Macaca fascicularis: one gene and its partners. The protein of the gene in region 1 purifies or fractionates together with the protein of each later gene. This does not show direct contact. Links are inferred from orthologs where the notes say so. Each region holds a gene or a part of one and is shown on either strand. Other genes may lie near its edges.

What was found.
Region 2: the proteins of protein argonaute-1 (region 1) and HSP90AB1 purify together in Homo sapiens (co-immunoprecipitation; 4 studies listed by BioGRID and IntAct, with this or other methods). This does not show direct contact. The link is inferred for Macaca fascicularis from reciprocal best matches to the Homo sapiens genes AGO1 and HSP90AB1.
Region 3: the proteins of protein argonaute-1 (region 1) and TNRC6C purify together in Homo sapiens (affinity purification with mass spectrometry; 5 studies listed by BioGRID and IntAct, with this or other methods). This does not show direct contact. The link is inferred for Macaca fascicularis from reciprocal best matches to the Homo sapiens genes AGO1 and TNRC6C.
Region 4: the proteins of protein argonaute-1 (region 1) and TARBP2 purify together in Homo sapiens (co-immunoprecipitation; 4 studies listed by BioGRID and IntAct, with this or other methods). This does not show direct contact. The link is inferred for Macaca fascicularis from reciprocal best matches to the Homo sapiens genes AGO1 and TARBP2.
Region 5: the proteins of protein argonaute-1 (region 1) and STUB1 purify together in Homo sapiens (affinity purification with mass spectrometry; 3 studies listed by BioGRID and IntAct, with this or other methods). This does not show direct contact. The link is inferred for Macaca fascicularis from reciprocal best matches to the Homo sapiens genes AGO1 and STUB1.
Region 6: the proteins of protein argonaute-1 (region 1) and TNRC6A purify together in Homo sapiens (affinity purification with mass spectrometry; 10 studies listed by BioGRID and IntAct, with this or other methods). This does not show direct contact. The link is inferred for Macaca fascicularis from reciprocal best matches to the Homo sapiens genes AGO1 and TNRC6A.

What each region holds. Positions count from the first base shown.
Region 1 is NC_088375.1:199,021,323-199,026,144, reverse strand, and holds part of protein argonaute-1, read left to right. Parts: intron 1-1,112; coding exon 1,113-1,247; intron 1,248-1,841; coding exon 1,842-1,943; intron 1,944-2,881; coding exon 2,882-3,081; intron 3,082-3,323; coding exon 3,324-3,432; 3' UTR 3,433-4,822.
Region 2 is NC_088378.1:127,266,731-127,270,519, reverse strand, and holds part of HSP90AB1 (heat shock protein HSP 90-beta), read left to right. Parts: intron 1-198; coding exon 199-345; intron 346-957; coding exon 958-1,164; intron 1,165-1,267; coding exon 1,268-1,427; intron 1,428-1,609; coding exon 1,610-1,743; intron 1,744-1,876; coding exon 1,877-2,185; intron 2,186-2,632; coding exon 2,633-2,798; intron 2,799-3,001; coding exon 3,002-3,192; intron 3,193-3,314; coding exon 3,315-3,462; intron 3,463-3,577; coding exon 3,578-3,789. UniProt on the Homo sapiens protein: Molecular chaperone that promotes the maturation, structural maintenance and proper regulation of specific target proteins involved for instance in cell cycle control and signal transduction. Undergoes a functional cycle linked to its ATPase activity.
Region 3 is NC_088390.1:84,529,203-84,534,024, forward strand, and holds part of TNRC6C (trinucleotide repeat-containing gene 6C protein), read left to right. Parts: intron 1-1,123; coding exon 1,124-1,194; intron 1,195-2,064; coding exon 2,065-2,204; intron 2,205-3,131; coding exon 3,132-3,492; 3' UTR 3,493-4,822. UniProt on the Homo sapiens protein: Plays a role in RNA-mediated gene silencing by micro-RNAs (miRNAs). Required for miRNA-dependent translational repression of complementary mRNAs by argonaute family proteins.
Region 4 is NC_088385.1:60,310,457-60,315,896, forward strand, and holds the start of TARBP2 (RISC-loading complex subunit TARBP2), read left to right. Parts: upstream 1-2,295; 5' UTR 2,296-2,530; coding exon 2,531-2,583; intron 2,584-2,707; exon of another isoform or gene 2,708-2,830; intron 2,831-3,135; coding exon 3,136-3,305; intron 3,306-4,130; coding exon 4,131-4,233; exon of another isoform or gene 4,234-4,316; intron 4,317-4,798; coding exon 4,799-4,894; intron 4,895-5,440. UniProt on the Homo sapiens protein: Required for formation of the RNA induced silencing complex (RISC). Component of the RISC loading complex (RLC), also known as the micro-RNA (miRNA) loading complex (miRLC), which is composed of DICER1, AGO2 and TARBP2.
Region 5 is NC_088394.1:1,433,953-1,439,518, forward strand, and holds STUB1 (E3 ubiquitin-protein ligase CHIP), read left to right. Parts: upstream 1-1,796; 5' UTR 1,797-1,918; coding exon 1,919-2,077; intron 2,078-2,421; exon of another isoform or gene 2,422-2,563; coding exon 2,564-2,762; intron 2,763-2,849; coding exon 2,850-3,015; intron 3,016-3,068; exon of another isoform or gene 3,069-3,207; coding exon 3,208-3,295; exon of another isoform or gene 3,296-3,434; coding exon 3,435-3,491; exon of another isoform or gene 3,492-3,578; coding exon 3,579-3,902; 3' UTR 3,903-4,162; downstream 4,163-5,566. UniProt on the Homo sapiens protein: E3 ubiquitin-protein ligase which targets misfolded chaperone substrates towards proteasomal degradation.
Region 6 is NC_088394.1:23,826,863-23,832,468, forward strand, and holds the start of TNRC6A (trinucleotide repeat-containing gene 6A protein), read left to right. Parts: upstream 1-2,382; 5' UTR 2,383-3,542; coding exon 3,543-3,693; intron 3,694-5,606.

The DNA of each region.
Region 1 (4,822 bases):
TTTCTCAGCCTCCCAAGTAGCTGGGGCTACAGCTATGAGTCATCACATCCAGCTTATTTTTGTATTTTTAGTAGAGCTGGAGTTTCACCATGTTGGCCAGGCTGGTCTCAAACTCCTGACCTCAAATGATCCACCCGCCTTGGCCTCCCAAAGTGCTGGAAATACAGGCGTGAGCCACGGTGCCTGGCCATTATGCCCAATTTCTAAGTCATCCAGTATTTTCTAAAATATCAGACACATTTATCATATCACATATCTGTTCAGAAATGTCTAGTGGCTTCACATAGCTTTGGGTTAAAATTCAAACTGCTTAGTAAAGCAATCAGCAGTTATTAAGCCCTACTAGGTTTTCTGTGCTTTTACTTAATTGTCTATCTTAGTCTTCATAACAGCTTTGTGAAGCAGGTCTTAGTAACATTAACAGATGTGGAGAAAATGAGACTTAGTGGAGTTTAATAACTTGCCCAATGTAATACAACTAGTTAAAGCTTAAATTTACGTCTAATTGATTCCAAAGTCTATCGTTCTGTACCATACAGTTTTGACCCTCTATATCTGACATCCATGGCCATAGGAAACTATTGCCTATGATTATTTACTTCTAGCTTTTCCTTTAGCTAGCCCATTTTCTAATAATCCTGCTTGCTTTGTAGGACTGAATTCACCTACTCTCTCTGCACCCATTATGGAGCTATATGTCTGCTCTTCTCTGGTGGTCCACAACCTGTCTGCTCTTGGAGCCCAAAAGAGAACTCTCATTAGCTGCCTGATCCTGAGTGAAACTAACTTTGGGCATTGTAATTTTAGTGATTTCTCTGTGAACCTTGGTTCTGTGTCTTGATATTAGGTCTCTTTATACACAAGAACCAGATGTTTGTTGTCTTCTGATGCCAAGGCTCCTGGCCAAGGTTTTATAGGAACATATTAAGTGAACTGAGTATAAGGCTGCTTTTGACAAGAAGGGCCTATCATCTCTAATTGTTGAGCATCAGCATATAAAGGGAGACTGAGCAAAAAGCTATATTACAAGTGGCAATTCCTTAGTTCAGAAGGGTATGTGAACTCAAGAGGAACTGTGTGTTTCTTTGTTTCCCTCTCCATTTTGTGCCTAGATACTCCACTATGAGCTACTGGCCATTCGTGATGCCTGCATCAAACTGGAAAAGGACTACCAGCCTGGGATCACTTATATTGTGGTGCAGAAACGCCATCACACCCGCCTTTTCTGTGCTGACAAGAACGAGCGAGTGAGTGAGGGACTGAGACCTCCCGTCCCCTCCTTCTGTCTCCCTTATCTTAATAGAGAAGAAGCCCTTCAGATAAAGGCTGGGGATTTAGTCCTTGTCCTGTTCATCCTCCCTGGCCCCTTCCCTCCTCTTAGCTCTTGTGGTCCTTCCTCTACCACTGCCTTCACTAGTGTCCACCTCCTCCCCTCTTTCCCTTATACTTCCTTTCCCTCCTCCTAGCTCCCTGGCCTAGACCCCATATATAGACCAGCTCCCAGAGAAGGGAAAGGGAACTACCATTTATTGAACTCCTCCTATGTGCCAGATACTGTACAAGGCGTCTTCCTCACAGCAACCCTGTGAGGTAGGTATTATTATTATCTCCAGTTTAATCTCAGAAAGGTTAAATGACTTGCTAAGATCATACAGCTAATAGGACTTGAACATAGGTCTGTGTGACTTTAGAAGCATATTATTTAAAGATTCAGTACCCTCTGGGAATAGCAACTTTGGCTTTGTTCTTGGGATTTTGGTGAAGTCAGAGTAGAATTGAGCCAGGGTCCTAGTTAGGGCCAGGCAGGTCTTGGGATCTTGGTTGTGTTTGTCTCTATACAGATTGGGAAGAGTGGTAACATCCCAGCTGGGACCACAGTGGACACCAACATCACCCACCCATTTGAGTTTGACTTCTATCTGTGCAGCCATGCAGGCATCCAGGTAGCTGGGCTATATCTTGGGGTTCCAATGGGTCAAAGATGAATTGTTTATTCACATTGCCTCTACAATATATCAGTCATCACTGAATGACATCCAAATTATGTTCATTTGTTTTGTTTTGTTTTGTTTTGTTTTATTTTGTTTTGAGGTGGAGTCTTGTTCTGTCCCCCAGGCTGGAGTACAGTGGCACACTCTCAGCTAACTGCAAACTCTGCCTCCTGGGTTTAAGCGGTCCTCCTGCCTTCCTGCCTCAGCCTCCCGAGTAACTGGGATTACAAGCATGCGCTACCATGCCCAGCTAATTTTTTTTTTTTTTTTTTGAGACAAGAGTCTCGCTCTGTCGCCCAGGCTGGAGTGCAGTGGCGCGATCTCGGCTCACTGCAAGCTCTGCCTCCCAGGTTCACGCCATTCTCCTGCCTCAGCCTCCTGAGTAGCTGGGACTACAGGCGCCCGCCACCACGCCCGGCTAATATTTTTTGTAGTTTTAGTAGAGATAGGGTTTCACCGTGTTAGCCAGGATGGTCTCGATCTCCTGATCTCGTGATCCGCCCGCCTCGGCCTCCCAAAGTGCTGGGATTACAGGCGTGAGCCACTGCGCCCGGCCTAATTTTTGTATTTTTAGTAGAGACAAGGTTTCACCATTTTGGCCCCGCTGGTCTTGAACTCCTGACCTCAAGTGATCCACCCACCTTGGCCTCCCAAAGTGCTGGGATTACAGGCATGAGCCATTGTTCCCGGCCAGGACTGCTCTCTTAATAAGCCCTGAGTACACTTGCAGGTTACCTTTAAGAAGAGTGCTTTATGACATTGGTAGTTTTGCATCCGCCTGTTCATGGGTGAATTATCTACCCAGCCGTATTCTTAATAGTGATCCTGTTCCCCTATTATCAGCCATCTCCTCTGCTCAGCCTGGGACCCTCATCTTCCTATCTTCCCAGGGCACCAGCCGACCATCCCATTACTATGTTCTTTGGGATGACAACCGTTTCACAGCGGATGAGCTCCAGATCCTGACATACCAGCTGTGCCACACTTACGTACGATGCACACGCTCTGTCTCTATCCCAGCACCTGCCTACTATGCCCGCCTGGTGGCTTTCCGGGCACGATACCACCTGGTGGACAAGGAGCATGACAGGTGAGACCTGGGATCAGGTTGGCCTCCTTTTTGCTTCAGCCTGTTGTGCCAGATCTTCTCAACTTTCCTTGGGTAGAAGGAAAGGAGTGCTGTCCAATTTGGTGTCATTGGGCTTCTCTGCCCAATCCTGGGTTGGGGTTTTCTCTTAAGTTGGTATGGGAATTGGCATCCCAGGGCTGGGTGAGGGAATTAGCAGCAGCTCAGTTCACCAGGAAGGACTTCTTTCATCTTTTCCTTTTCAGTGGAGAGGGGAGCCACATATCGGGGCAAAGCAATGGGCGGGACCCCCAGGCCCTGGCCAAAGCCGTGCAGGTTCATCAGGATACTCTGCGCACCATGTACTTCGCTTGAAGGCAGAACGCTGTTACCTCACTGGATAGAAGAAAGCTTTCCAAGCCCCAGGAGCTGTGCCACCCAAATCCAGAGGAAGCAAGGAGGAGGGAGGTGGGGTAGGGAGGAGTGTAGGACGCCTTGTTTCCTTCTGTAGAGGTGGTGTAAGAGTGGGGAACAGGGCCAGCAAGACAGACCACCAGCCAGAAATCTCTGATATCAACCTCATGTCCCCCACCCCTCACCCCATCTTGTCACATCTGGCCCTGACCCCAATGGACCAAAAGGGGCAGCACTGGTGCCCACCATACACACAGGTGTCTCATGTGACTCACAGTGCTAAAGACTCATGCTTGACAGCTTGGTAAGGTCAACTCTGTAGCCCTGCAGACAAAAGCTGGTTAGGTTTGGGTTTGATACTTTAGATGGGAAAGTGAGGGGCTTGAGAAAGTGGGTGGGAGGAGGGAAGGATTTTTTAGGAGCCTTAATCAGAAAAGGACTAGATTTGTTTAAGAAGAAAAATGAAACCAGACCCAGATCAATATTTTAGGATACTAGATGTTTTAATGGGTTCAGAATCCAGTTTGTAGGAAGATTTTTTAATGGTTTTGGTTGCTCCTCCCCCAGCTGCCACCCCCCCCTTCCCCTTATTCCTCTCTGTCCACATTTTCTGCCCCACCTTACTTCTCCTCCCTGACAGACATCCAGCCCCTAGTAATACTTAAGGCACTATGGCACTTAGCTTTGAAGTGACACGACCCTGTCTTCCTTCCGCCCGCTGGTGGGTAACCAGTGCCTTCCCTGTAACGGTAATGCTGCAGAACTGCAACCTTTTGTACCTTTCTTTGGGGAATGGGGTGGGGGTGGGAGAGGAGGTAGATGGGGAAGAAATACCCCAGACCCAACAAACCTCCAGCCAGAAAGCCAGCTATTTTGCATTTGAAGGAATTGACTTCCTCATTCATTGAGCTTTTTAAAAGATCACAACCTCAAGATGGTTAAAATCCATTGACATTTGCACTTTCAAACATGACAAGTCTCGGAGCTGCTGAGATGACTGGCCCCTGGCCTTTCCACTTATGCCTCCTTTTCTCCTTGTTCCTCCTACCTCCCACCCCACCCAGGTCTGGAGTTACTTTCATAGCATTTTTCACTCTTGGCTTCTTTTCTCCCTTGATGGTCAAGTCTCTTGTGTTTCAATATTTCTTAACTGGGGTGTCTTATAACAAAAAACTCTTAGGTCTAAAATGAGAAAAAAGAGAGAAAACAAAATGTTATTTTTATACCATAACTTGAGTGTATTGCCAAAATTTGGAAATCCTTCCCATGCCTGATGAGTTTGTATCCCGGAAACATTGAGCCATCAGAATGAACTGTGTACCTGATTTGTTCTCTGACCTGGCTAGGTAGG
Region 2 (3,789 bases), on another chromosome or scaffold:
TCCTTCTGAATTTTCAGGCTTCCCACTTAGTGTGTAGCCTGAGATCTTTTAAGAGAATGCTTTTTCGGTCTTTTCGGAAGGGCTAGTACTCAGGTCAAACCAGTCTCAACTCTTAAGGTCCTAACAAATGAGATGACCTTTAGGATTTTAAAATGTGAGGCCTTCATGTTTTGTAATTAATGATCATTTTTATTTTAGATGCCTGAGGAAGTGCACCATGGAGAGGAGGAGGTGGAGACTTTTGCCTTTCAGGCAGAAATTGCCCAACTCATGTCTCTCATCATCAATACCTTCTATTCCAACAAGGAGATTTTCCTTCGGGAGTTGATCTCTAATGCTTCTGATGTAAGTGCTGTGGTTTCTATATTTGGTGTGTTTATTTTTTTGACACTCTTCGTAGAGAGGAAAGGAGTGGTTTGGCCTTTGTTGGGGATTACTATTGAAGGGGGTAAAGTTGCAACTATTCCAAAAAGATTTGTCTTACTCTCTGGCCATCTTGAACTTGAAAGGGAAGTGACTATGTCCAGAAAAAGTGGGCTCATGTAACTAACTGTAGTTCTAAAGCCTCAAGATAAGGGGCAATCAGATTTGAGGCTGAGAGAGGTAAACCAAGATTTTCTTTGAAGACACGGGCTTTAAGAAAGCAAAAGTGACCGAGCGTGTTGACTCACACCTGTAACGCCAAGGCAGGAGGATCACTTGAGCCTAGGATTTCGAGGGCAACCTGGGCAACAGCCAGACCTTGTCTCTGCAAAAAATTAAATATTAGTTGAGCACAGTGGCATGTGCCTGTAGTCCCAGCTACTTGGGAGGCTGGGGTGGAGGATGGCTTGAACCAGGGAGGTCAAGGCTGCAGTGAGCTGTCATCCTTGCTACTACTGCACTGTAGCTTGGGCAACAGAGCAATTGCCTGTCTCGGAGAGAGCAAAAGTAAGTTGCTGTTTGTATTCGTTTCAGGCCTTGGACAAGATTCGCTATGAGAGCTTAACAGACCCTTCGAAGTTGGACAGTGGTAAAGAGCTGAAAATTGACATCATCCCCAACCCTCAGGAACGTACCCTGACTTTGGTAGACACAGGCATTGGGATGACCAAAGCTGATCTCATAAATAATTTGGGAACCATTGCCAAGTCTGGTACTAAAGCATTCATGGAGGCTCTTCAGGTACTGCAGTTCTGTAGGCATACACCATTCATATTCATCAGTGTTCTTTATTTTTTTTGCTGCTTTAAATTTTGTGTTTGACTTTACAAAAACTTGTTGGCAGGCTGGTGCAGACATCTCCATGATTGGACAGTTTGGTGTTGGCTTTTATTCTGCCTACCTGGTGGCAGAGAAAGTGGTTGTGATCACAAAGCACAACGATGATGAACAGTATGCTTGGGAGTCTTCTGCTGGAGGTTCCTTCACTGTGCGGGCTGACCATGGTAAGTTAGCTTTTCTGTTACAAGGTAGCTGGGTTAGAGTTTTGTGGGCTCACCAGTAGCAGAAATTTTGAGCATCCTGTCAAGCAGTTCTTCATAGCAGTTCCGCTAATACTTTATTAATTTGGTAAGTCTCAACTGCATATACTTTCGCCCTGTTACACGCTTATGATTGACTCTTCTAGGTGAGCCCATTGGCAGAGGTACCAAAGTGATCCTCCATCTTAAAGAAGATCAGACAGAGTACTTGGAAGAGAGGCGGGTCAAAGAAGTAGTGAAGAAGCACTCTCAGTTCATAGGCTATCCCATCACCCTTTATGTGAGTATGGACTTTTAAACCTTTTACACTTAGCGTGCAGGATGTTTCCTGTTCTGGAGAATCTCGTGGTCCCTGGCTTCTGCTTTTCCTGGTGTTTTGTACTCCAAGGCTAATTTCTGTTTTTCTTACTTAGTTGGAGAAGGAGCGAGAGAAGGAAATTAGTGATGATGAGGCAGAGGAAGAGAAAGGTGAGAAAGAAGAGGAAGATAAAGATGATGAAGAAAAGCCCAAGATCGAAGATGTGGGTTCAGATGAGGAGGATGACAGTGGTAAGGATAAGAAGAAGAAAACTAAGAAGATCAAAGAGAAATACATTGATCAGGAAGAGCTAAACAAGACCAAGCCTATTTGGACCAGAAACCCTGATGACATCACCCAAGAGGAGTATGGAGAATTCTATAAGAGCCTCACCAATGACTGGGAAGACCACTTGGCAGTCAAGGTGAGAAGCCTTTGCATGTTGGGTCAACATGCAAATATGGAGAGGAATAAGTGGAAGAGTGTTGGCAGGTAATAGACACATGGAACGTGTCCAGCTGATAACAGAAATGTGAGAGCTATGTATTTTCACTTACTGATTACCCGGTCATAGTGAAGTGCCATCCTTCCTAATGACCTCACTTTCTCTAAAGGAAATCTGGGTAATGTCTATTGGCAGCCTTACACATCCAGAGTTCTGATCAGAGCGGACTGTTTTCTATATACAGCTAGTATTCGTCTAGATCGTTGAGGGCATTAAGGCTCAGTTTTCTCGGGAACTGCCTGTGTGTGCGCTCTATCCGTTAGGCTTATGGGGAGGATCATTATTCCATTTTTAGGTAATTTGGTGTTGGGGCTAAAAGGCCCTCTTTTGAAATGTATCACTTGCTTATTTTTTGTTTTTTTTCAGCACTTTTCTGTAGAAGGTCAGTTGGAATTCAGGGCATTGCTATTCATTCCTCGTCGGGCTCCCTTTGACCTTTTTGAGAACAAGAAGAAAAAGAACAACATCAAACTCTATGTCCGTCGTGTGTTCATCATGGACAGCTGTGATGAGTTAATACCAGAGTATCTCAGTGAGTATCTCCTTGGCCTAATTTAGTTGGGTGAAGTCTTGGGAGGTTTTCGGCATTCTGCCAGAATATCCTAGGTTAAGGATTTTCTGCAATGCATAGTAAGTATAAGGGTTCAGGAGGCTATTAGAGCCTTCTGTTTGAATCTGGGTACCAGCTCTGGTCTAGCTATTTTTACTGAGCTTTCTTATCCTGGTTGATGGCAGATTTTATTCGTGGTGTGGTTGACTCTGAGGATCTGCCCCTGAACATCTCCCGAGAAATGCTCCAGCAGAGCAAAATCTTGAAAGTCATTCGTAAAAACATTGTTAAGAAGTGTCTTGAGCTCTTCTCTGAGCTGGCAGAAGACAAGGAGAATTACAAGAAATTCTATGAGGCATTCTCTAAAAATCTCAAGGTAAAGAAGCAAATGCTTATTCCCTTTACCACTTTCTTAGTAATTACTAACAAATTTTTCCATTCACATAGAAAGTGAATTGTAGTTAAGTTGGATTGTTTTTTCTCTTCCCACCCTTCAAGCTTGGAATCCACGAGGACTCCACTAACCGCCGCCGCCTGTCTGAGCTGCTGCGCTATCACACCTCCCAGTCTGGAGATGAGATGACATCTCTGTCAGAGTATGTTTCTCGCATGAAGGAGACACAGAAGTCCATCTATTACATCACTGGTGCGTTGGTTCTGATGGAAGCCTTTTTGGAGGAGTGGGGAGCACATTTCAGGGCTACCTAGGAACTGGCAGTATGAGGCATTTTAGTCACTGAGTCCATTTAATTACCCTACAGGTGAGAGCAAAGAGCAGGTGGCCAACTCAGCTTTTGTGGAGCGAGTGCGGAAACGGGGCTTCGAGGTGGTATATATGACCGAGCCCATTGACGAGTACTGTGTGCAGCAGCTCAAGGAGTTTGATGGGAAGAGCCTGGTCTCAGTTACCAAGGAGGGTCTGGAGCTGCCTGAGGATGAGGAGGAGAAGAAGAAGATGGAAGAGAGCAAGGCA
Region 3 (4,822 bases), on another chromosome or scaffold:
CATTTTGTTCAGATCAGCTGAACATAGTGTGGCCAAGGCACACAGACTGAGAGGTGCAGTTCAAGCTAAACATCCCCTTGGGGGACCAGTGAATAATGATTCCATAGGAATTGATGTGCAGCACCTCTGCCTGTTCTGCATATCCCTGTCAGCTTTTTTGTCAAAGCCATTTCACAAGTCTCTAGGAAGTTCCAAACTGTCCCACATTTTCCCATCTTTTTCTGAGCCTTGAGTTCCAACCTCTGCCTGTTACCCAGTTCCAAAGTTGCTTCCACATTTTCAGGTATCTTTTCAGCAGCACCCCACTCTACTGGTACCAGTTTACTTTATTAGTCCATTTTCATGCTGCTGGTAAAGACATACCCAAGATGAGGCAATTTACAAAAGAAAGAGGTTTATTGGACTTACAACTCCACGTGGCTGGGGAGGCCTCATAGTCATGGCAGAAGGTGAAAGGCACATCTCACATGGTGGCAGACAAGAGAGCTTGTACAGAGAAACTCCAGTTGTTTAAACCGTCAGATCTTGTGAGACTATCACGAGAACAGCACAGGAAAGACGTGCCCCCATGATTCAATTACCTCCTACCACGTTCCTCCCACAAAACATGGGAATCATGGGAGTTACGATTCAAGATGAGATTTGAATGGGGACACAGCCAGACCATATCAGATAGTTTGAAAGTAATAGTTTCTGCCTTTTAGCAGCAGTCTTTAGGGATTTGCTCTGTTGTATTAACCAGAAGAACCTGGGAGCACTGATTCCACACCAGGTCTGGGGGCAGGCAGAGGTGGAGACCAGAGCTTTCCTGGAGATTGTCAGGCCTCTCACCCCCGTCTCTCCTGGCACAGATGGGAAAACACGGGTCTCCGGGGCTGGCGGGAAGATCCAAGAAGTCAGAGTCACCACGGGGAAGTGGGAAGGGGGTCTGCAGGAACTGTGAGGTTTTGGTTTACGAAAGAAAGTATGGACCTCCCAGGCTGAGAAAGGCTGTCCTAGATCATGTGGTGATGGTCCGTGATGGCCCGTGCTGTCCCACACTTCAGCACGGTAAGAGGTGGGGAGGCCGCACTATCCACTGGCACCGGGGCCTTGTCAACCGGGTTCTCCCCTCTTGTTGCAGGTTCTGCCTGGAGCACCGACGCCTCAGGAAGAACCAGCAGCTGGCTCGTTCTTCGAAACCTCACTCCCCAGGTGCAGTACGGTGCCCCTGTGTCGCTGAGCATGATCCAAGGAGGGTTCCCTCTTGGCCCCCGATGCAGATGAGGCTGTCTGGTGGGGCGGGATAGTCGGGGGTTCTTGGTCAGGGTCCAGAGGTGATGCTGCACGGGAGGAGATGAGCAAGTGCCAGGCTTGGCTCCAGCAGCAGCAGCAGATGGGGTCCAGGGGTCTCTTTTAACCATGTTCTTGGTGAATTGTTTGTTTACCCACTAGAGGCTGGAAAAGTGTGCTCTGTAAATAGAATTGTTTATCTTACAACTACCCATTCAAGAGTGGTTGGGCCTGGCCGGTTGCAGTAGCTCACGCCTGTAATCCCAGCACTTTGGGAGGTCGAGGCCAGGGATCACCTGAGCCCAAGATTTGGAGACCAGGCTGGGCAACATAGCAAGACCCCATGTGTGTATTTTTATAACATTTTTTAAAAGAGTGGTTTGGCCACGTCAGACTGTGGGGCTAGCCAGTCCCTTCTTGGGACCCAGGCCACACCCACCTACACATCTCCCAAGTCTGTTGTCAGCAGCTAGACCCAGGTGCCTTTTGCAAACCAGGGGCTCTGTGTGATGTGCTCTGGTGAAAGGAGAGCTGAACTCAAAGTGGGGTTTTTCTCCTTCCTCTGATTAGCCTAACTCATAAAATATAACTGAAACATCCAAGATTTTAGTTACACGTTTGGCCACAGAGATACAGAATGTGAACATTGTAAAATCACATATTATTAAAGCCTTTTAAAGAAAAACATTTTCCTAGTGTTTAGTGTATCCAGTTTCATGTTTTTTCTTTGGAAGGCTGTAGTGAAAGAAATCAGAAGAAAGCTCATTCATGCCCCTGTGCTTCCTCTGTCAGATTGATGGTTCTACACTGCGGACATTGTGTTTGCAACATGGGCCTCTCATCACATTCCACCTGAATCTGACTCAAGGCAATGCCGTGGTCCGGTATAGCTCCAAGGAGGAGGCTGCCAAGGCCCAGAAGTCTCTGCACATGTATGTTTCCTCACAGCCACCTCAGCGCTCCAAGTAGCTCCACATCCCCCAGAGCATTAGGTTAGGGGTGTTGCAGGGGGGTCCTGAGCCGCCATAGCAGCATCCCACAGGCTGGCCACCCTCCCGCTTCTGGAGGCCGGAGGTCTTGACACCCAAGATGAAGGTGTGGGCAGGGCTGGTTTCTCCTGAGGCCTCTCTCCTTGGCTATAGACAGCTGCCCTCTCCCTCTGTTCTTACATGGTCGTCTCTTTGTGCATGTTGGTGCCCTGATATAAGGACACCAGTCATGTTGGACTAGGGCCCACCCATGTGACCTCATCTAACTAACTTAATTACCTCTTTAAAGACTCCATCTCCAAACACAGTTACATGGGGAGGTACTGGGGGTTAGGACTTCAGCAAAAGAATTGGGGGAAGGCGACACAGGTCAGTTCTTCACAGGTATCTTGAGACTTATTGTTTTTTTCTGCTGCTGAGTTGCTGTGTCTACTCCCCTCTGCCTGTGACACATTCCTACACAGGGCCCAGCAGCGGTCCTCACAGCCAACCCTTCACCCTGACGAAAGGTTGCTTTTGATAGAAGTATAAGTAGACCTGATCAGTAACATCACTTGAGACATGGAACCTAGAAATTAGTCATTCCTGTTTTTAGCCCAGGATGCAAATGACAGTGACCCTAAATGAGCCCACATTTAATGGTGTGTTCATGCACTTGAAGATGTACTCTCTGTACCAGTACGGTGTTGCTGCTAGAAGTCTGAACTGAGCAAAACCTTCACAGTCTGGGTTTGGAAATAGCAGTGGCAAAACAGAAGCCACACGATGGCTTCCAGGTAGCCTTTCCCAATACGAAGACAGAAAGCCGGTGCCACGAACTTAGCAGGACTTGGGGTGGCCCTGCTCACGTGCCCCATCTTGCTGTTGCAGGTGCGTCCTGGGAAACACTACCATCCTGGCTGAGTTCGCTGGCGAAGAAGAAGTGAATCGCTTCTTAGCCCAAGGCCAGGCGCTGCCACCCACCTCCAGCTGGCAGTCCAGTAGCGCGTCCAGCCAGCCGCGGCTCAGCGCAGCGGGCAGCTCCCATGGCCTGGTGCGCAGCGACGCTGGCCACTGGAATGCCCCATGCCTGGGTGGCAAGGGGAGCAGTGAGCTGCTGTGGGGCGGGGTGCCCCAGTACTCCAGCAGCCTGTGGGGCCCGCCCAGCGCTGACGATAGCAGGGTGATCGGCAGCCCCACCCCTCTGACCACCCTGCTGCCTGGGGACCTGCTCAGCGGGGAGTCCCTGTAGGAGCTGCCATCATCAGCACCAGGAGAGCCGACCCCTCCCGGGACCCCTCCCAGATGGGCGGCCCCACAGACCCGCTGGAACCCAGCAGCGGCCACCCTTTTGAGTACCTCTGTCCAGGACTGAAGACGAACCTTGGCCACAGTCCTTGCGAACTGTTCGCAAAACAGTGCGGGCTGCGGTGGGTCAGCGTCACATGCTAATGACAGGATGTTCCTCGTAGCTTTTTATTTTGTGTGTCTTATGTTTGTATAGTGTGTTGTCATTTTGATTTTTTTTTTTTAAAGTATAAAAGCTGCTTAGAATAGTTCTATCATGAAGGGCACTTTTCAGATTGTGGGCTGGAAAGGGTTATTTTATCTGTGGGGGAGGGAGGGAGACGTGAAGCCTATTTAAAATGAGCCTGTGACGATTATGCACATTACCAGAGGCGGCCGGTAATCAGGGCAGAGTCTGGTGTGGACCGCCGGGCGCAGAGCGGCTCCACGGTAGGAGCTGAGCGGAAGGCGTGGGCTGCGATCTGCTCTCTGTTCCCCTGGATCCGCCTATGCACATTACCCTTGTTTCATTACTTTTTCATGTCATTTTTTTATCCCAAAAAATATTTTTTAAAAGTTAAAAAAAGACATATCAAACATGCAAATACTTGAATCCAGCAGGCCAATAGTGAAATGTGAACACTTTCTAACTCTACACTTCCAGGCTGACATCAGTACACAGAAACAGGCTCTAGGGAAAATTTCTAAGTTCATAGCCTCCATGTGTGTGAGTGTGTGCGTGTTGAAACAGAAGTGTGTGTGTGTGCGTGTGTGGCGCGTGCTCCTGCACAGCGTGCATTTTCTGTGTTTGTGTGTTTGAAAGCGTGTGAGGATTTAACTGTGGGTTTTCCCTTGTATTCAGTATATGCTTTTTTTTTTGGCGCATTGGTCAAACGTTTGTTATTATTAGCTTCTAACTTTGCACTGAGTGTCCTCGCCCTTCCTTTAGCTAATCCTATACATTACAGAGAATTCCTAGGACAGGGCTGGCGACAATTCATGTGTAAATGTTTACTCAAGGACTCTGTGACTGCGTTTAAAAAGTACAGTGTATATCTCTGGAGAAATAATATGTATACCTACCTTTAGCAGCTTTTTATTGTGGACTAATGCAAGAAAATTATTACCAGAGTATTGCACCATTTTTCCATTTGGAATATAAAGTTAAAGAGAAAAAAAAAACTGTTGTTGAACTGTGGCCATAGATACTTGTAAAGAATGGATGGTTCCGTGGAAGGAACAGAAACAAGCACTTGGGCGTGGGTTGTGACTGCTTTTGGGGGAGCCTGGGGTTT
Region 4 (5,440 bases), on another chromosome or scaffold:
GAGGATCACAGCTGGAAGGGGAGGGGACCAACGCCTGGGCATCTAGGAACAGGTGCTCTCTGACTAATCTTCAGGTCCAGCCTGCTAAGTGTGTGTGTGTGTGTGTGTGTCTGTGTGTGTGTGGAGGGAGATGTGGGTACATCAGTCCTTGCCCTTCCTTTCCTTCCCTGGAGGGGGCCAAAACTCTCCCTCCTCCTTCCCTCTCTCCCTTCCTGAGGATGAGTGGGAGGAGATGTTCTCTTGCCCTCTGTCCTTTAAGTCTGTCCCCCAATCACCCTCCACCCCACCCCAATACGGTCCTTTCCAGCTCTGGAGGCCCTTCGTCTCCAAGCTGGGCCGCGGCATCTCTCCGCTCCATTCCCTTCCTTCCCAGCCCCACACGCGTCGGGTCCAGGTCCCCAGTTCCTCCATCCCCACAGCTTCAGCATCCCCACACCACCACCCGCACCAGGCCACATCTGCATCCCGACCCTCCCTCCACGCCCGGATCCCAGGACCCGGACCCATCCCTGCCCCCCACCCCCCCACAACTCGGCCAGGCTCTCACCTCGGGGGCTCCGCGGCCGCAGCACAAAAGGCGGCGCTGCTGCAGCTCCGCTCCGGATGCTGCTCCCGCCTCCTCCTCCTTCTCCTCCTCCTTCCCTCCTCCCCCCGCTGCCCTCCACCGGACCCGGGGCGCTGTCACAGGCGATGCTCGTGCGGTGTCCGGATGCACGGGTGTCAGCTTCAGCTTGCTGCCCCCACCCCCCGACCCCTAGCCCCGTCCCTGCTCGGCTTGAACTCCCGCTCCTTCCAGGGCCCCCGCCCCTGGCCCCCCGGGACGGACACGCCCTGAGCGGGGGATGCTGCGATGGAGCCGCCGGCCTCTTAAAGGAGCCCGCTGCTGCCATCCGGCGCGCTCCACTCTCGTCCCTGGCCCGCCTGGGCCCCGCGCTTCCCTGCTGGCGGTGTCCTATGGAGGTCCCACCTCAGGCCTTAGGCTGATTCCACAGGAACCCCCTATGACTCGTCTTATAGACTCCTTTCTACATCGGAGAGAGCAGCCCCTCAGTTGGGATCCCTAGCGCTCTGGCATTGCTCCCCCTATCATACTGATCTTGCCAGCTCTCCTTCCCTTGATTGTCACCGCTCACTCTAATTTCACCCACTTGGAATTCACTCGACTCTAGGCCCCATCCTCCTCCAGTGTTCCTGGATGACCCCTCATTATCATTTAAAGATTCCTCTGGACCTCCAGCCCCGCCTCAGAGTAAGACATCTCTTTCTTGACCCCTTCTCAGAACACTCATTAGAACCTTTATTTATTTATTTATTTTTTAAAAATGTGATATCTCCCTTTCTCCAAGGTCACAAGATTTCCCTTAGCCCAGTGGTTGTGCGACTTTGGGGGAGGAGGCAATGGGGCTCTAGGACTAAAAAATTTGCGTCTGCTCAACACCCAGATCAGTTGATTAGTCTTAGGCGGCCAAAATTCACTCTTGCTTTCTTCAGCTGAGAGACCCAAGACTCATGGCAGAGGGAACGAGACCACCAGGTGCCTAGTCCTTCTAATCCTGTCGCCCCACACCACAGCCTGATTATCAGGCCCCAGAGATTTCCTTGCCAGTTAGAGAGGTTCACTAGAGCCGTTCTAAAAAGGTTTTACAAAAGAAGCAAAACCTGAAGGAGGTGAAGGACAACCTAGGAAGAGGAAGCAAGTTCTGTGTCACGGAGGCCCAAGGGCCAGGGGCTTAGGCTGTGGGTTGAGGGGACTGTCTGAGACTGACTTGGATCTGCACCAGCTCCAGAGCCCTGCGTAGACAGACATCGGTCCCCTCCGGCGTCTAGGTAAAGCCCACCCTCTCAGACCTCAAAGAGCCCGGATCCGACAGCAACCTCTCCGGACCAATCACAACCTTCCTTCACCAAGGAGGCGGGGTCAGGGGGCTGATTTTTCCTTGTCCCCGCCCCTTTGGTCGAAGTAACCAATTCCAATGTGCCTAGAGGAAGTAAACGCAATGGGAGTAACCAATGACAACATGAAGCTTCTCGTGCGTGCTTGACCCTGCCCCTCCAGCTGCGGCAAAGATGGCGCGCGGGCTCCTGGGTTCTGTAGTTTTCTCGGGATCCAAAAGGCTCCGTGCCCAAGTGAGTCCTTACCGCCCCGCTACCCAGCGGCTTCCCCTCCGCTAGTACGCATGTCCACAGCCTCACGGCCCGGGAGAGAGGGGGCGCGGAAGGAAGGAGGCGGGACGGTATTACAAACAAAAAAATACAGCCTTCTCGAGAAGCGACTGCGGAGAGCCCGCTCCTCCCAGAAGGCGGTGCAGCCGGCCCGGGCGAGCCACGCGGAGGGTTGTGGGGCGGATAGCTCCCCTCCAGATGGAGGCTCATGAAGTAGGGTGGGCGGGGGACTCCATATCCCAGCGTGCCCCTCGGCGGGCCCTACCGGCCGCGACTCCGGGCTTGGCCCCGGCCCTAGCTCGTCGGCGGTGTATTGGGGCGCGTGGAGGCTGCACTCACGGTGGCGCCCGCGGGGACGGAGGAGGGAATGAGTGAAGAGGAGCAAGGCTCCGGCATTACCACGGGCTGCGGGCTGCCTAGGTGAGCCGCCTCGTACCGATTCCTTCTGGGCAAAAAGCGTGGGGCCGTGCGGAGGGAGTAGCGGCGCGGCCCCAGCATGCACCTGGCCTGAGGGTTGTTCCCGGCAAGCACTGGGGCAGTGGGCAGTGGTTCCCGGCGTGCACCGGGGCAGTGGCTGCTGCCTTCAGCTCTAAATAGTTTGGGGTTGGCCCGGTTCCCAGACTGCACTGGAACACTGGGCTTTATGCCCCCACATTCAGTGCATTTGGTGGGTACTGGGTTCCTGGCTTGCACTGTGTCAGGGGGTATGCACTTTCAACCTGCATGGGGCACAGGATCGTGCCCACCTTAACTGAGGCAGGAGCAGTGCATTCTTCCCCCCTTGCTTTGAGGTAGTGGGCCCTACTCTTCCAGCCTGCACCTACACTTGGAACCCAGCCAATGGATGCTAGACTGCCTGGGGTTCCTTGGACCCTATGTCCCCCATAATGTGCCTAGGTCTGGTATGGAAGTGCTTGGCCAGGTGGGTGCAGAGAGGGGAGGTGTGATATGGGTCTGTGCCCCTTCCCCCAGTATAGAGCAAATGCTGGCCGCCAACCCAGGCAAGACCCCGATCAGCCTTCTGCAGGAGTATGGGACCAGAATAGGGAAGACGCCTGTGTACGACCTTCTCAAAGCCGAGGGCCAAGCCCACCAGCCTAATTTCACCTTCCGGGTCACCGTTGGCGACACCAGCTGCACTGGTGAGGAAGGCTTGGGCAGCCTGGCTGGGGTGTGCATTTGCAGGTCCCCATGACTTTGTTTCTTGGAGTCTCTTTCTTCACAGTCCTTTTCTTCAAGGCCAGTGAGGGAAGGAGAGATTTCAGGGGAAAAGCTACTGACTGGATTGGGAGAACAGGGCTGTGAGAAGGTGGGTAGGACGTGGGAGAGTTAGAGGATCGATCAGGACTGCCACATCACCCTAGAGGAAAAGGAAGAGAAGATAACTGAAATCCCAGTGGAGTATTTGGGGGAGTGAGTGCCTGGCATGCTGGGCTCTGTTCCCGGTGCTTAACCAAATTCCCATTTAATTTTAAACCTCAGTCTAACCAGTGATGTAGGTGGCAGTATCCCCCCCCCACTCCTCCCCCCGCCCGCCCATGTTGAATATGAGGAAACTGAGTATTTGAGATAGTAAATGGCTGGTGCATGGTCACATGCCTAGTGTGTGGCGGAGTGGGGCTTTTACTCCAGAGCCTACCCTCTCTTATTCCAGCTCTCTGTTTTTATTGAGGGAAAAGAAAGTGCTTTGCAAAGGAAATTAAAGCATTTGAGTTCAGAAGTCCACCCAAGGCGTTTGAGCTCAGAAGTCCTGCTTGGCATGGCTTAATTCTGGTCTGGAAGCTAATGGAAAGATAAGGGCTCTTCCTTCTAGCAATTAGTGAAACACTTCCAGTCTTCAGCAGGGGGTGGTTGGTCAGAAGGGGCTTGATGGATTCCCACTGGCTCTGAGGAGAGAGGCTGTGGGATGCTGGTTTCTCTCCCATCCTTCCAGTGACCTCCAGTATTGCCCATGCCCCCTCTCTCAGGTCAGGGCCCCAGCAAGAAGGCAGCCAAGCACAAGGCAGCTGAGGTGGCCCTCAAACACCTCAAAGGGGGGAGCATGCTGGAGCCGGCCTTGGAGGACAGCAGGTGAGGGAGGAACCGAGGCATCCCAGAAGCCCTTCAAGGAACCCAGGCCCTGCACCACCCCCTCTGCCACCAGGCCTGGCCAGGTGACACTTAGCCACCCTGACCTGGCCTCTTCCTGAGAGTCCCTCTGGACCTGAACAGGGTCTTCCAGGGCGTTTGCTGCTATGAAGAATTCTTGGGGTGGAGGGGTTGGTTAGCCCCATAGAGGGGTTGTGGCAGTAGATTGGGACCTGGGTTAGGGAGGGAGAGGGGTGGAGGCTGAGGCTAAAGGGAGTTGCTCCCCAACATACCTCCTTGTTCTAGCAAGATGTCCTTCCTTCACGCGCAGGTTGGAGTTTGTTGCTCCTCTGGTTCTTTGGTACAAAGAGACCCTCTTTTCTGTCTTTTTGCCGGTGTTTGGCGGCAAAGGATCCCAGGAGGAAGCTGTTGGTTGAGCCTCCCTGATTCTTTGGCTCAATTTGGAAGTTCTCTTAGGGGATCGGGAGGTCAGGAGGACGTGGGTCCCCCACCCCTCTCTTCCCCCTATACATGGGTGTGAATCAAAGGCCCCCTTCCCCTCGGGAAGTTCTTTTTCTCCCCTAGACTCTTCACTGCCTGAGGACATTCCGATTTTTACTGCTGCAGCAGCTGCTACCCCAGTTCCATCTGTTGTCCTAACCAGGTATCTGTGTTCCCTGACTGCCTGAGGTGGGTGGAGGAAGGGGTTCTGGTTTTTGGCTCCTCAGTCTTTGGACCCAGGCTGGTCAGGCATGAGGAAGTCTGAGAATAAACAGAATGGAATAGTTGGGAACCAGAACTTGAAGAAATCACAGCAGCTGGGGTAAGCTCTTGGGACAGAAGGTCATTTGTGATTTTCAGATAGCCTTATGGATGATGTTCGACCATATTTAAGGGTCTCGCAGGCCCCATTTTCTTCTGGGTTGACCACATGTCAGTTCTGTGTTTGAGGCCCATCAGGCACTTCTGGGACTGGAAATACAGCTCTTCTCCCACTGTCCTGGCTTGGATGATACACAAGTGTTCCAGATTGGAAATGGGCTGGGGCCTGGAGAAGGCCTCCCTTGAGTGGGAGGGGGAAGGAAGCCGGCTAGAGCAGGAGGGAGCAGGCTCGATGTGTGAACAGACAGCTGCCTGCCCGGTGGGAATCAGGAGATGGTAGTCAGGAATCTAAAGTAGTGGTTAGGCTTGGAGCTCATGGGCAGGCTCA
Region 5 (5,566 bases), on another chromosome or scaffold:
GGCTGGGGGCCGGGTGTGCGGTCAGACTGGGTGTGTAATCACGCATGAGTCTGGGAAGTGTTTATTGAGCTCCCATAGTGGCTGACCTACTCTTCAGCCTCCCTGCCATCCAGTGAGACCCGGAGGCCTAAGGTTGTGTAGCAGGTGAGCAGGCCTGGACTATAGCCAAGTTCACTCGGCCTGGGTCCCATGCTTCTTGGCTGGCCTAGTGTCCACGTGGGTGGCCAGGCTGGGGCCAAGGTTGGGCAGCAGGTCTGGGCACAGCCTTTGCCCCACGGCCCAGGTCCACAGTGCTGTCTCCACTAGGTGGGGAGCACACAGACTCAGGCCCAGGGGCACGGGCCACCCCAGCCTGCCCACACACAGTTCGTTCACCTTGGCTCAGAGCTGTGGCCCACTCTTGAACCTGGCCCAGGTACAGCAGGTAGTACCTGAGGGTGTACTGTGGGGCCGGCAGGCCGGGCACTGTGACCACTGCCTCATCTGACATGAAGGCCTCCATCTCGAGCTCCAGGCACCAGGACTGCTGTGAGCAGCGAGGAGAAGCAGCCAGACACCCCATCAGGACAAGCTCTGGCTCCGACTCCTGGTCCTAGAGACACACAAGGGCCCAGACTGTCTGCTTCACAGACAAGGACGCTTATGTACCCAAGTCGTGCCCACCCAACTCACCTGAGGCTGTGACTGTGGTGGGTCCACACCGCAGAGGGCAGACAGCTGGGTGACCGCGGCCCCCACATCTGGCAGGAGGCAGAAGGTGGTGGTCGAACAGTGCACAGCCAGCTCAGGGGGATTGGTGGTCACCAGATGCTGTGAGAAGCCAGGTCAGGGTGCCCGGCGTGGTGGACCCACAGGGAGGCCCCGCCCCCACGAAGACCCGCTCTGGAGGCCCCGCCCCGCCGATGCCACGCCCCGATGAAGACCCGCCCTACGGAGGCCCCGCCCTCGAGGCGGGCCGCACCTCGCCGCCAGCTTCCAGGCCAGCAGCCGCTCCAGCTCCCTGTCACATGCTCTCCGCTCTGCCCCTGATGGCCGCTGGCAACTCCTCCCGATACCTGGGGAAGGGCGGTGAGGGGAGGTCCGGCCACAGGGTACGCTCGCCCACCGATCCCTTTATCCCCTTCCACTCTACCAACGGCCCAGGGCTTCCAGCCGCACTCGGGGGTCCGCGCGCACCCGTAGGACCTCTCGATGGCGCTCCGGAATGGCGGCCCAGCGACTGCGGTCCTTACACCCAACAGCGCGGGAAGCCACTATGTTCACGCGGAGGGGCGGGGCCGGCTGCCGGGGGCGGGGCCGGCTGCTGGGGGCGGGGCTTCTGCGTAGGGGCTGGCTGCTGGGGGCGGGGCCTCTGGGTGGGGCGGCCTGTTGGGGGCGGGGCGTCTGCCGATGGGGCGGGCTGCTGGGGGCGGGGCTGGCTGCCGGGGGAAGGGCCTCTGGATGGGGCCCGCTGCTTGGGGAGGGGTCTCTGCGCGTTGCGGCGGGGGCGGAACGCCAGGTGGTCGGGACAGGCTGTTGGGGGAGTGCGCCCTCAGCGAACCAAGGCATCTCACTGGGAAAGTCGAATGTGTGTGGCGGTCGCCGCCGAGGCCGGTTCCGAAGAGGCCTCAGCAGGGCGGGCCAGGGCCTCCGCGAACGCCGACCCTTAAGAGCGCCGAGCGAGGGAACCGGAGTGTTCCTCCCAGCCCCCGACGCCGCGGGCCTAGCGTCCCCGTCCAGGCTGATTGGGCGCACGCGCGGCCCCACTCGCCCCCACCCGTGCGTCCCCGCTGGTCCCGCCCCCGGCCGGAAGTTCCGGCGGTGGAGCTGGGCCGGGCCCGAGAGGATCGCGGGTTCGGGCTGCGGGGCTCGGGCTGCAGGCGCTGGGCCGCCAGGCGCGGAGCTTGGGAGCGCAGCCCAGGCCGTGCCGCGCGGCGCCATGAAGGGCAAGGAGGAGAAGGAGGGCGGCGCGCGGCTGGGCGCTGGCGGCGGAAGCCCCGAGAAGAGCCCGAGTGCGCAGGAGCTCAAGGAGCAGGGCAACCGTCTGTTCGTGGGCCGAAAGTACCCGGAGGCGGCGGCCTGCTACGGCCGCGCGATCGTGAGTGCGCTCGCGCGGGAAGGGCGGCGGCGGCGGCGGCGGCGGCGGCGGCGGCGCCGGGGAGGGCCGGGCCCGTGCCCGGCTGGCCCCACCGAGGGTCTGGTTCCTCTGCGGGGCATGTCCTGGGCTCCTAAAGCCCAGCCGTGGTTCCCGAGCCCAGCGCCGGGTGTCGGAGAACGAGGGTGGGATGCTGGATGGAGGCCGGCCGGGTCGGGGGGAGGGCAGGGGCCCTCGCCCCTTGAGGCTCCCAGGTCCAAAGCCTGGACTCTCCAAAGATTTGGAAAACTTTACAAAACCAAGTGGAGTCAAGCGGATAGGCTCAGCCAGTACTCCACTGTCTGCAGATCCTTGGATCCAGGGGCTTTGACGACTGAGAAGCCTAGTTTCTTGATTCTAGCCAGAGCGCAGAAGCTGGGACGGGCCGTGGGACAGAGGGGGCGCGCTGAGCCTACACCCTCATGCGGCTGGCCCGGCCTTGGTCCCTAGACCCGGAACCCGCTGGTGGCCGTATATTACACCAACCGTGCCCTGTGCTACCTGAAGATGCAGCAGCACGAGCAGGCCCTGGCCGACTGCCGGCGCGCCCTGGAACTGGACGGGCAGTCTGTGAAGGCGCACTTCTTCCTGGGGCAGTGCCAGCTGGAGATGGAGAGCTATGATGAGGCCATCGCCAATCTGCAGCGAGGTTGGCTGACAAGCTGCCCGGTTGTGGGGCCCCTGGGGCCAGGCGGGTGGACTGGCCAGAGAGTGACCTGAAGCCCCCGTTCCCCAGCTTACAGCCTGGCCAAGGAGCAGCGGCTGAACTTCGGGGACGACATCCCCAGCGCTCTTCGAATCGCGAAGAAGAAGCGCTGGAATAGCATCGAGGAGCGGCGCATCCACCAGGAGAGCGAGCTGCACTCCTACCTCTCCAGGCTCATTGCCGCGGAGCGTGAGAGGTGGGACCCTCACCCCAGGTCGCCCTGTCTTGGGGTAATTCTGAATCACCAACTACCAACATGAGCGTTTATTGAAGGTTTTACTGGCGAGCAGAAAACGTGGGGAAGAAGCATGAATGTTAGCCCTGAGGTTGGGGTGTGGTCAGACATCTGGCCAGGTCCATCTCTTACTGGCTCCTGGTCAACCCCCAGGGAGCTGGAAGAGTGCCAGCGGAACCACGAGGGTGATGAGGACGACAGCCACGTCCGGGCCCAGCAGGCCTGCATTGAGGCTAAGCATGTGAGGGTGCCCCCCTCCCACATGTGGGTCTGTGTGTGTGCACCTGGCGTGGGAGCATCCCCGCCTTGTGTTGGGTCTGTGCCCCATGGAGGAGGGAGGTGGGGTGTCCCGCACAAGTGCAGTGCTCAACTCTTCACAGGACAAGTACATGGCAGACATGGACGAGCTCTTCTCTCAGGTGGACGAGAAGAGGAAGGTGAGTGTCTGTCACTTGCTGCGGTGGGTGGCAGGTGCTGGAGCAGTGCCCCTTCCCAGCCTCTGATCGTGTGCCCCTGTGCCACAGAAGCGTGACATCCCCGACTACCTGTGTGGTAAGATCAGCTTTGAGCTGATGCGGGAGCCGTGCATCACGCCCAGTGGCATCACCTACGACCGCAAGGACATCGAGGAGCACCTGCAGGTGAGGCTGCGGCTGGGGGAGCAGGGCCAGCAGCATGGTCCTGGGCCCACTGACTGCCCTCTGCCCTTCTTGTCACTGCAGCGCGTGGGTCATTTTGACCCCGTGACCCGGAGCCCCCTGACCCAGGAACAGCTCATCCCCAACCTGGCCATGAAGGAAGTCATTGACGCATTCATCTCTGAGAATGGCTGGGTGGAGGACTACTGAGATGCCTTGCCCTGCCCAGCATCCTGGTCCAGGAGAGCCCTGGGCGGAAGCCCTCCACCCCTGTACATAGTTTGTGTTGCTGGCCACCCTGGCCCCTTCCAAGTTCAAGTTCTGCTGTTGGGCTCTGGACTATTCCCCCTCTCAGCATAGCTCTTGCTGGGCCATGATTGTCCCCCTTTGTGGGCTGGAAAAGCAGGTGAGGGTGGGCTGGGCTGAAGCCACTGCCGACACTGTCTGTGTAATAAAATCCATGAGCACGAGATGGGACGTGCTGGTGTGTGGCAGGCATGCCTGCCAGCTGCTTTGGCTAGCCGAGGAAGGTGGAGATGAAGACGCTGGTGTCAAGGTTGAGTGTGGCATGCCACCAGCGGTCAGGGAAGTACAGCACCTGGTGGAGAAAAGGGGTGCAGCACAGATTAGCTGGGGGCCTCTGGCCTGGCCTGGCCCTCTCCTGCCAGCCACTGACCTCACCAGCCCGGATGGTACACTCCAGGGGCCGTGCAGACGGTGGCAGGGCTGGATATGTGTCCCGGAGCCAGGCCAGCGTGGTCTTGTTGGGGTGGAACTCTGGTGTCTTCTCAGGTGGGTAGAGGAACCAGCGCTGGGGGCAGGAGCAGCAGCGTCACCCTTGCCTGTTTTGGTCACCGAGCCCCAAGGCTCAACCCCAACCCTGTGCTGACCTTACGGCCGTAGATCACCTCCGAGTACCCGGGCCCATGCCAGTGGAAGGGCACCCCCGAGCCAGCTCCTGTGGGGTTATGAGCACCTGGTGACCAAGCCATTTTGTACCCACCCTCAGAAGCCTCACTCCTCCCCAGTCCTGAGCAGCGTTCACCTGCGATTCCAAAGCTGTAAGCTGGAGCGGTTCCCAGCAGGCCAAATGGGGGTGGGGAGTAGTGCCGAAAGAGAGAGGCCCACTCGGTGAAGTTGTTGTCCCCGAAGAAGTACAGGGTGTCTGCCAGTAGAGACGGTGGGGGCAGGGATCCTGGCACCTGGAAACTCCAGGCGTCCCCACCCCCTACCGCCACCTAGGGCTGACTCACCATTGCCCAGGGAGGTGGGGTCCTGGGGGTGCAGCAGCTGCTCCACATACTCCTGGAACGGCAAGTCCACTGCAGGAGAGAGCCGGGTCAGGACCGGCTGGTCCAGCCGTCCCGGTGCTGGCACACGGGCGGGCGCAGGGGCGGAGCCGCTCACCTTTCTGGTAGGAGTAGGTGTTGGCGGTGCTCAAGCGGACCACTCTGTCCCCAAACGAGGCCAGCAGCCTTTCGCGGGAGCACAGGGCCCGGAACCTCTGTGGGGGCGGGGAGGGGGCTTAGTGGCCGGACCCAGCAGGGGCAAGAGTGGCCGGGGACGGGCGCGCGCTCACCGAGTTGTCCGTGAGTCCCTGCAGGATAACGGGCCTGACGAAGGCGTACCTGGAAAGAAATGCAGAGTCGCGGCCAGGTCCGACAGTCACCCTCGCCGCCCCCGCCCCACACGCGCGCGCGAGATCAGGGAAGGCGGCCTTGGGCGGTCCGGGCAGACGGGCGTGTGAACAGAGCCCGACCTCCGCGATCAAGGAAGCACGTACTGCTGCACGAACTCGGCGTAGGTGAGGTCGGCCCGACGCTCCACCGTGCAGCGCTCCTCCTCCGCCACGGCCCCCGGCCCGCCCGGGCGCC
Region 6 (5,606 bases), on another chromosome or scaffold:
CAGTGTCATTGACTTTTACAGCCACCTCAAAGGCTTTATACATGAGATGCAGGACATAAGTTCTGATAAAAGGGGAGTCTGGTTTTTACAGACGAGGTAGATACATAGAACTTACAGATGTGAGGTATCCTGCAAAGTAGCCTTCAGGGCATGAATGATTGCTAATTGGAGTGTTGTCTTGGTGGCAGGTGCATCAAACAGAGTGGCCCACTTAGGCCTTTCAGATCCATCAGCCCTTACTCCTCTTGATAGTTGTGGTAAATGATATAGTCAGATGTCTTAATTGAGTCTCTATGAACATTTAACTCCTGGAAGCTGACGTGTTTGGGCACAAGTTTTGTTTTTTTTGTTTTTTGTTTTTTTTTTTTTCAGTTGGCTTTCTGAAGGAGGAGATATGGGAAAAGGTATGACTGGTTGGCTGTGATGATGGTGTTGAAGAACAGAACTTACTCCCCTCTGTGCTTACAGTATCTGATATTGTGATATTTCCTCGAGAAGAAATGTGTGGTACATCTTTTAAGTACTAAGGGGGATATTTTTGGCCAGGAAAACACTTGCTAGTAACCTCATCAGAAAGTCTTGAAAATGAAGTTTGAGAAAGGACAAAATACTCCGGATAGAGACCAATAGATGGAGTAAAATTATAGTGACAAAAAAGATCAGAAAAGGACATGTCTGTAATTCACAGCAGAACATGAAGAACAAATGCTGCAGATGCTAGATGTTTCTTTTTTTTTTTTTTTTTTGAGACGGAGTCTAGCTCTGTTGCCCAGGCTGGAGTGCAGTGGCCGGATCTCAGCTCACTGCAAGCCCCGCCTCCCAGGTTCACGCCATTCTCCTGCCTCAGCCTCCCGAGTAGCTGGGAGTACAGGCGCCCGCCACCTCGCCCGGCTAATTTTTTTTTGTATTTTAGTAGAGACGGGGTTTCACCGTGTTAGCCAGGATGGTCTCGATCTCCTGAACTCGTGATCCGCCCGTCTCGGCCTCCCAAAGTGCTGGGATTACAGGCTTGAGCCACCGCACCCGGCGATGCTAGATGTTTCTGAATAAGTACCCAAGTACCTGTGATATTTTGACACAAGTAGGGTAAAGACAACCTTTTGGGTGCCACTGAGGACTGGTGAGTTGGGTTCATGACTAGGCAATTGAGTGCTTACTAGATAAGCTTTGTGCTAAGTAAGCAGTCCTAATTCTTATAAAAATACTAAGACATTGACATGTATGGTCATTTGTCCCCAGTTTTTTCATGAAGAAACAAGAGACTGAAGAAGATTAAGTATTTTGAGCTAGTAATCAGCTTTTAATCTTGACTTCTGCGTGTCTCGGGGTAGGTAACATGACAGTGGTGTAATCTAGTTGCCGTTGTTTACTGATTTTACTCTGCTGCTCTCATATGCTGTGACTGTCTTGCTCCTTGCCTTCCCTGGGTTTGTAATGTGACTGAGCTTGTTCAGTCTTACTACCTCCTGCACACGGAATTCAAAAGAGAGTGAGTCACGGCCACAGTTGGCAGGAATCTGTTATGTTACTCCATTAGCCACATGACAGTCTGCTTGTAACAAAATGACAGCGAAATATAGCAACAGTTATCATACTCTTCTTCCAGTTATCCTTTTAGCTGATTTTAGTAGTCCTGTACTTTACTAAGTTTTTATCAATTGTGCATAATGTCATTCATTTCATTTTTCAGTGTCTGCATCTCTTTTCAGTCCGTTCCATCAGCAAAGCCAACTTAAATTTTGTTTAATCTCATTGCAGTGCACCCGTAGCAACCCCTTCCAGTTTCTTAGACACTTGCCTATCTTTCTCCTTTTATCTTCTTTGACATCCCTACTGCCATATGCATTCCAGCCTGGATAAATAATGTGCAGCTTCCCAAATGTCTAGTTCATATCTCCAAACCTCTCCTTGTCTGCCTGATATTCTTAGTGTCCTCTCTGGAAAACTTCCTCAGGGCAGAGTTAGGTATTTTCATTTTGTGTGATGCTTTTCTTTGGGTGACTGGTGATTTTGGTTGTTGATATTATGAGTGAAGGTTTAGGGTCTAGACTTTAGGGTGATGACTATAGGTAGCTGGAGTGAATTTCTTCCACCTTTGCAAAGGTTTCTTTGCCCAGTCGACTCCTTCCGTGAATGGGAAGGCTGATCTGTGTGAAGGGTGTTGATTGGCAGGCTTTACTTTACTCTGTGATGGAGGGAGTGGCAGCAGCCTCCAATAAGATGGGCTTTATTCTGGGGCAACCAAACCCATCCAAGCACCTAACAGACTCCTGTGGAAGGTTTTGTTTCTTTAGAGAGTATTTATTTGGCTTTAGGCTGCATTTAGAAGCAGCTACTACCTGTTGGCCGTGTAGGCATCTGAATGGAAAGTGGGTGGGAGGGGTTGAGTAGCTATGGCTTTTCTATTCCTTAGACAGTCTTTTTGCCTCATGCTTGCTTGCTCTGATCTTCTGGAACCTCTCTAGAGCTCCACCAGAAAGGATGGTACCTAAAACATCCATTTCAGACTGCTCTTGTGTTTATTCTTGGGTGGGGTGGCTTTTGCTTTTGCTTATCAGCTTTGAATAGAATAAAAAAGTAATAACCTTTTCCCCTGAAAGGTAATAACCTGTCTCCTGAAACACATTTGCCCAGTCTGTCACTTTGAAATCCTGAACCAGAAGTTCTGTTGACAACTTTAACTGTTTGAGATTTTAAAAATTTAAACAAACTAATATGAAGAATACATTAATAGGTCAGGCGCGGTGGCTCACACTTGTAATCCCAACACTTTGGGAGGCCGAGGTGGGCGAATCACTTGAGGTCAGGAGTTTGAGACCAGCCTGGCCAACTTGATGAAACCCTGTCTGTACTAAAAATACAAAAATTAGCCAGGCATGGTGGCAGGCGCCTGTAAAGTCCCAGCTACTTGGGAGGCTGAGGCAGGAGAATCGCTTGAACTCGGGAGACGGAGGCTGCAGTGAACAGAGATCACGCCACTGCATTACAGCCTGGGTGACAGAGCAAGACTCCGTCTCAAAACAAACAAGAGTACATTATTGTTTCCTAAGAATTGATAGAATACTTTGTAATGTTTGTGGAATATGAAATTGTTGTAATGCTGAAATACAAGTCACCTATTTATTATTAAGATTATTAAGTTATGTTCTAAAAATATTTACAAAGCTATTTAGGGCAAGGAAAACTAAAGGTAGCTTCCAGAAACCTAGGTGAGAGGGGATTGTGAGGAGGTCTCAGGCGTTGCCATTAGCTACTAATTGATACTTGGGGCCAGTAGCAAGGTAACTCCAGCTTAAATGAAGTTTACATTCTAGGATTGGAGGAAATTGCTTGTTTCCCAATGTAAAATTTGCTAATTTTAGGTTGTCTTCCTTGATATGATATTGAGATAAAAGTTGTACTACTTGTGGCTTATTAAAGTGAATTGTACCATATAGTGGCTATATAGTTAGGGTTAGGTTGCAAGTTGTGTTTTCAGTGAATGATAAAATAATAATTTGCCATGTCTTCTAATAAGAGTGAAAAAGTGAAAATGAACCTGTATGCAACATTATTTTTATCTCTCAATACATTTTGGGAAAGTTAATTGCAACTGTGTGGTTCAGGGATTTAGTGCAAGAAGAAGAACAGTTGATGGAAGAAAAGAAAAAGAAAAAAGACGACAAGAAAAAGAAGGAAGCTGCTCAAAAGAAGGTAGTATGTGTATAAACTATTTATATTAAGCAGTTTAAACATAGAATTAAAAAGAAAATTACTCTTACAGATTTTTAAGGCATTTATTTGATTTAATGTTTTAGTTTTAATGGAGATTCATTTTAATATTTAATGTCTTTGAATATGCATACAAAGTAACTTGCTGAGTTTGTACAATTTAATGCATAGTTATTAATCTTGCCAATAGTTTTTCAAAGGTAAGTACGTAAGTACGTTTTATAGATCTTTATCTTTCAAATAGCTATTCCTAGGTGTTTCATAATAATATCATTTTATAAGTGGGAAGAGCATGGAATTTGTAGCCAAGTTGAGAGGATTTGAAATCTCACTCTCCCACATAGCACATAGAATGGTGTGACCTTAAATTTTATTTAGCCTCTCTGGGCCTTAGTTTCCTTGTGTTTTGTTAAATGAGGGTTGAATTAAGTGTTATTATATGTAATATAGAAATAGAGTATTAAAGGAAAACATAATAGACATAATAGGAAGTAAAGTGTCAGTTTCTTTTTCCCCCTTTATTTAGTACCTGGGCTGATTTTTAAAGTTTGCAGTGTACATTAACCTTAAAATAAACCTAGGACATTGTTTACTGCAAGGGCATTATTGTTTACTAGCTAATGTAGTATAGGAAACTATAACTAAATGCAAAGTAAGTTAAAAAATTTTTTTTAATCTGTAATTATTAAAAATTTTCCAAATTGTTAATACTAAAAGCTGATAATAGTTAACTAAATGGACACTCATCTCCTACTATGTCAAGGTTTCAAGACATTAAAATGTTCTAAAAGACCTAGTGAAATTACTGTTTCAATTCTCTATTCTAATGAAAAATTATTTTGATTTCTTATATATGCCTCTTTTGAGCCAGGCATTGTGCTAGGAATTGAATGTAGACTCTAGCAAGATACTTATGTCCACATTATTTAATAGGGGAAAACACAGGCTATAAAAGTGGCAGGTGAGGCATTTATGGGGAACTGTTGCAGTACAGAGAGAGAGGTGCATAACTCAGGCTGAGATGGGGCAGAGGAACAGAGAAGTTTCCTTAGAGTTGAAATTAGGTGAATAAGGAGCAGAATAGAAAAGGATTCCAAACAGTGAAAACTCAGAAATACATGGTAGCCTGTATGTGTTAAAGGATGGGTTTTGCTTGGGGGAAAGGGAGGGAACTGAGGGTAGAACTCTGAAGAGTTGAGCTAGGAAAGGCTAGGAGGTTTTCTCAGGGCTTCGGGGAAAATGCTGAAAATGTTTTAGTAGAGTGACATAAAAATTTGTATTTTAGTATGTTTACCTTGGAAAATTGTGGAATTGGATTAGAAGGGGTAGATACCAGAGTGTGAAATACTGGTGAAGGGACTATTAAAGTAACCCCCAGACTTTGTTTAAAGGATATAGAGGGAGAGTCAACTTACATTGATTCGCAGGTTCCAGATGAGTGACTACATTTGAGAGGAGTTAATCAGGCTGGGGGATACAAGGAAAGGGGAAATGATAAATAATTCATTTCTACATGTCCTGAGCCTAGGGGTGTCATCAGCAAGTATTAGGAAGGAGAATTAAGTATGAGATGAGAGGAGATGATGTGGCCCTAGACACCTGCCTTTTGGTTGCTCTTAGGGGTGCCTGGGAAGGGATGCATAGGTATATGAAATGGTTAGGGTTTTGGTAGGCTTCTCATGGTTTGGCATTGACCGATGCCTTGGGCGTCTGTCAGAGGCTGTTTATGTAGGACAGTCTTTGCAGTCTGGTTGGTCATTGCTCGGGATTTCTTATGAGAAAGTTGTGTCCTCTGTAAGTCTGAGTAAAGGTAAAGGGGTAAAGGCTTATCAGACTCTTGTTCCATGGTGTGAAAGGCCATTTGCCCAATGAAAAGAGCTTCTAAGAAACTTAAG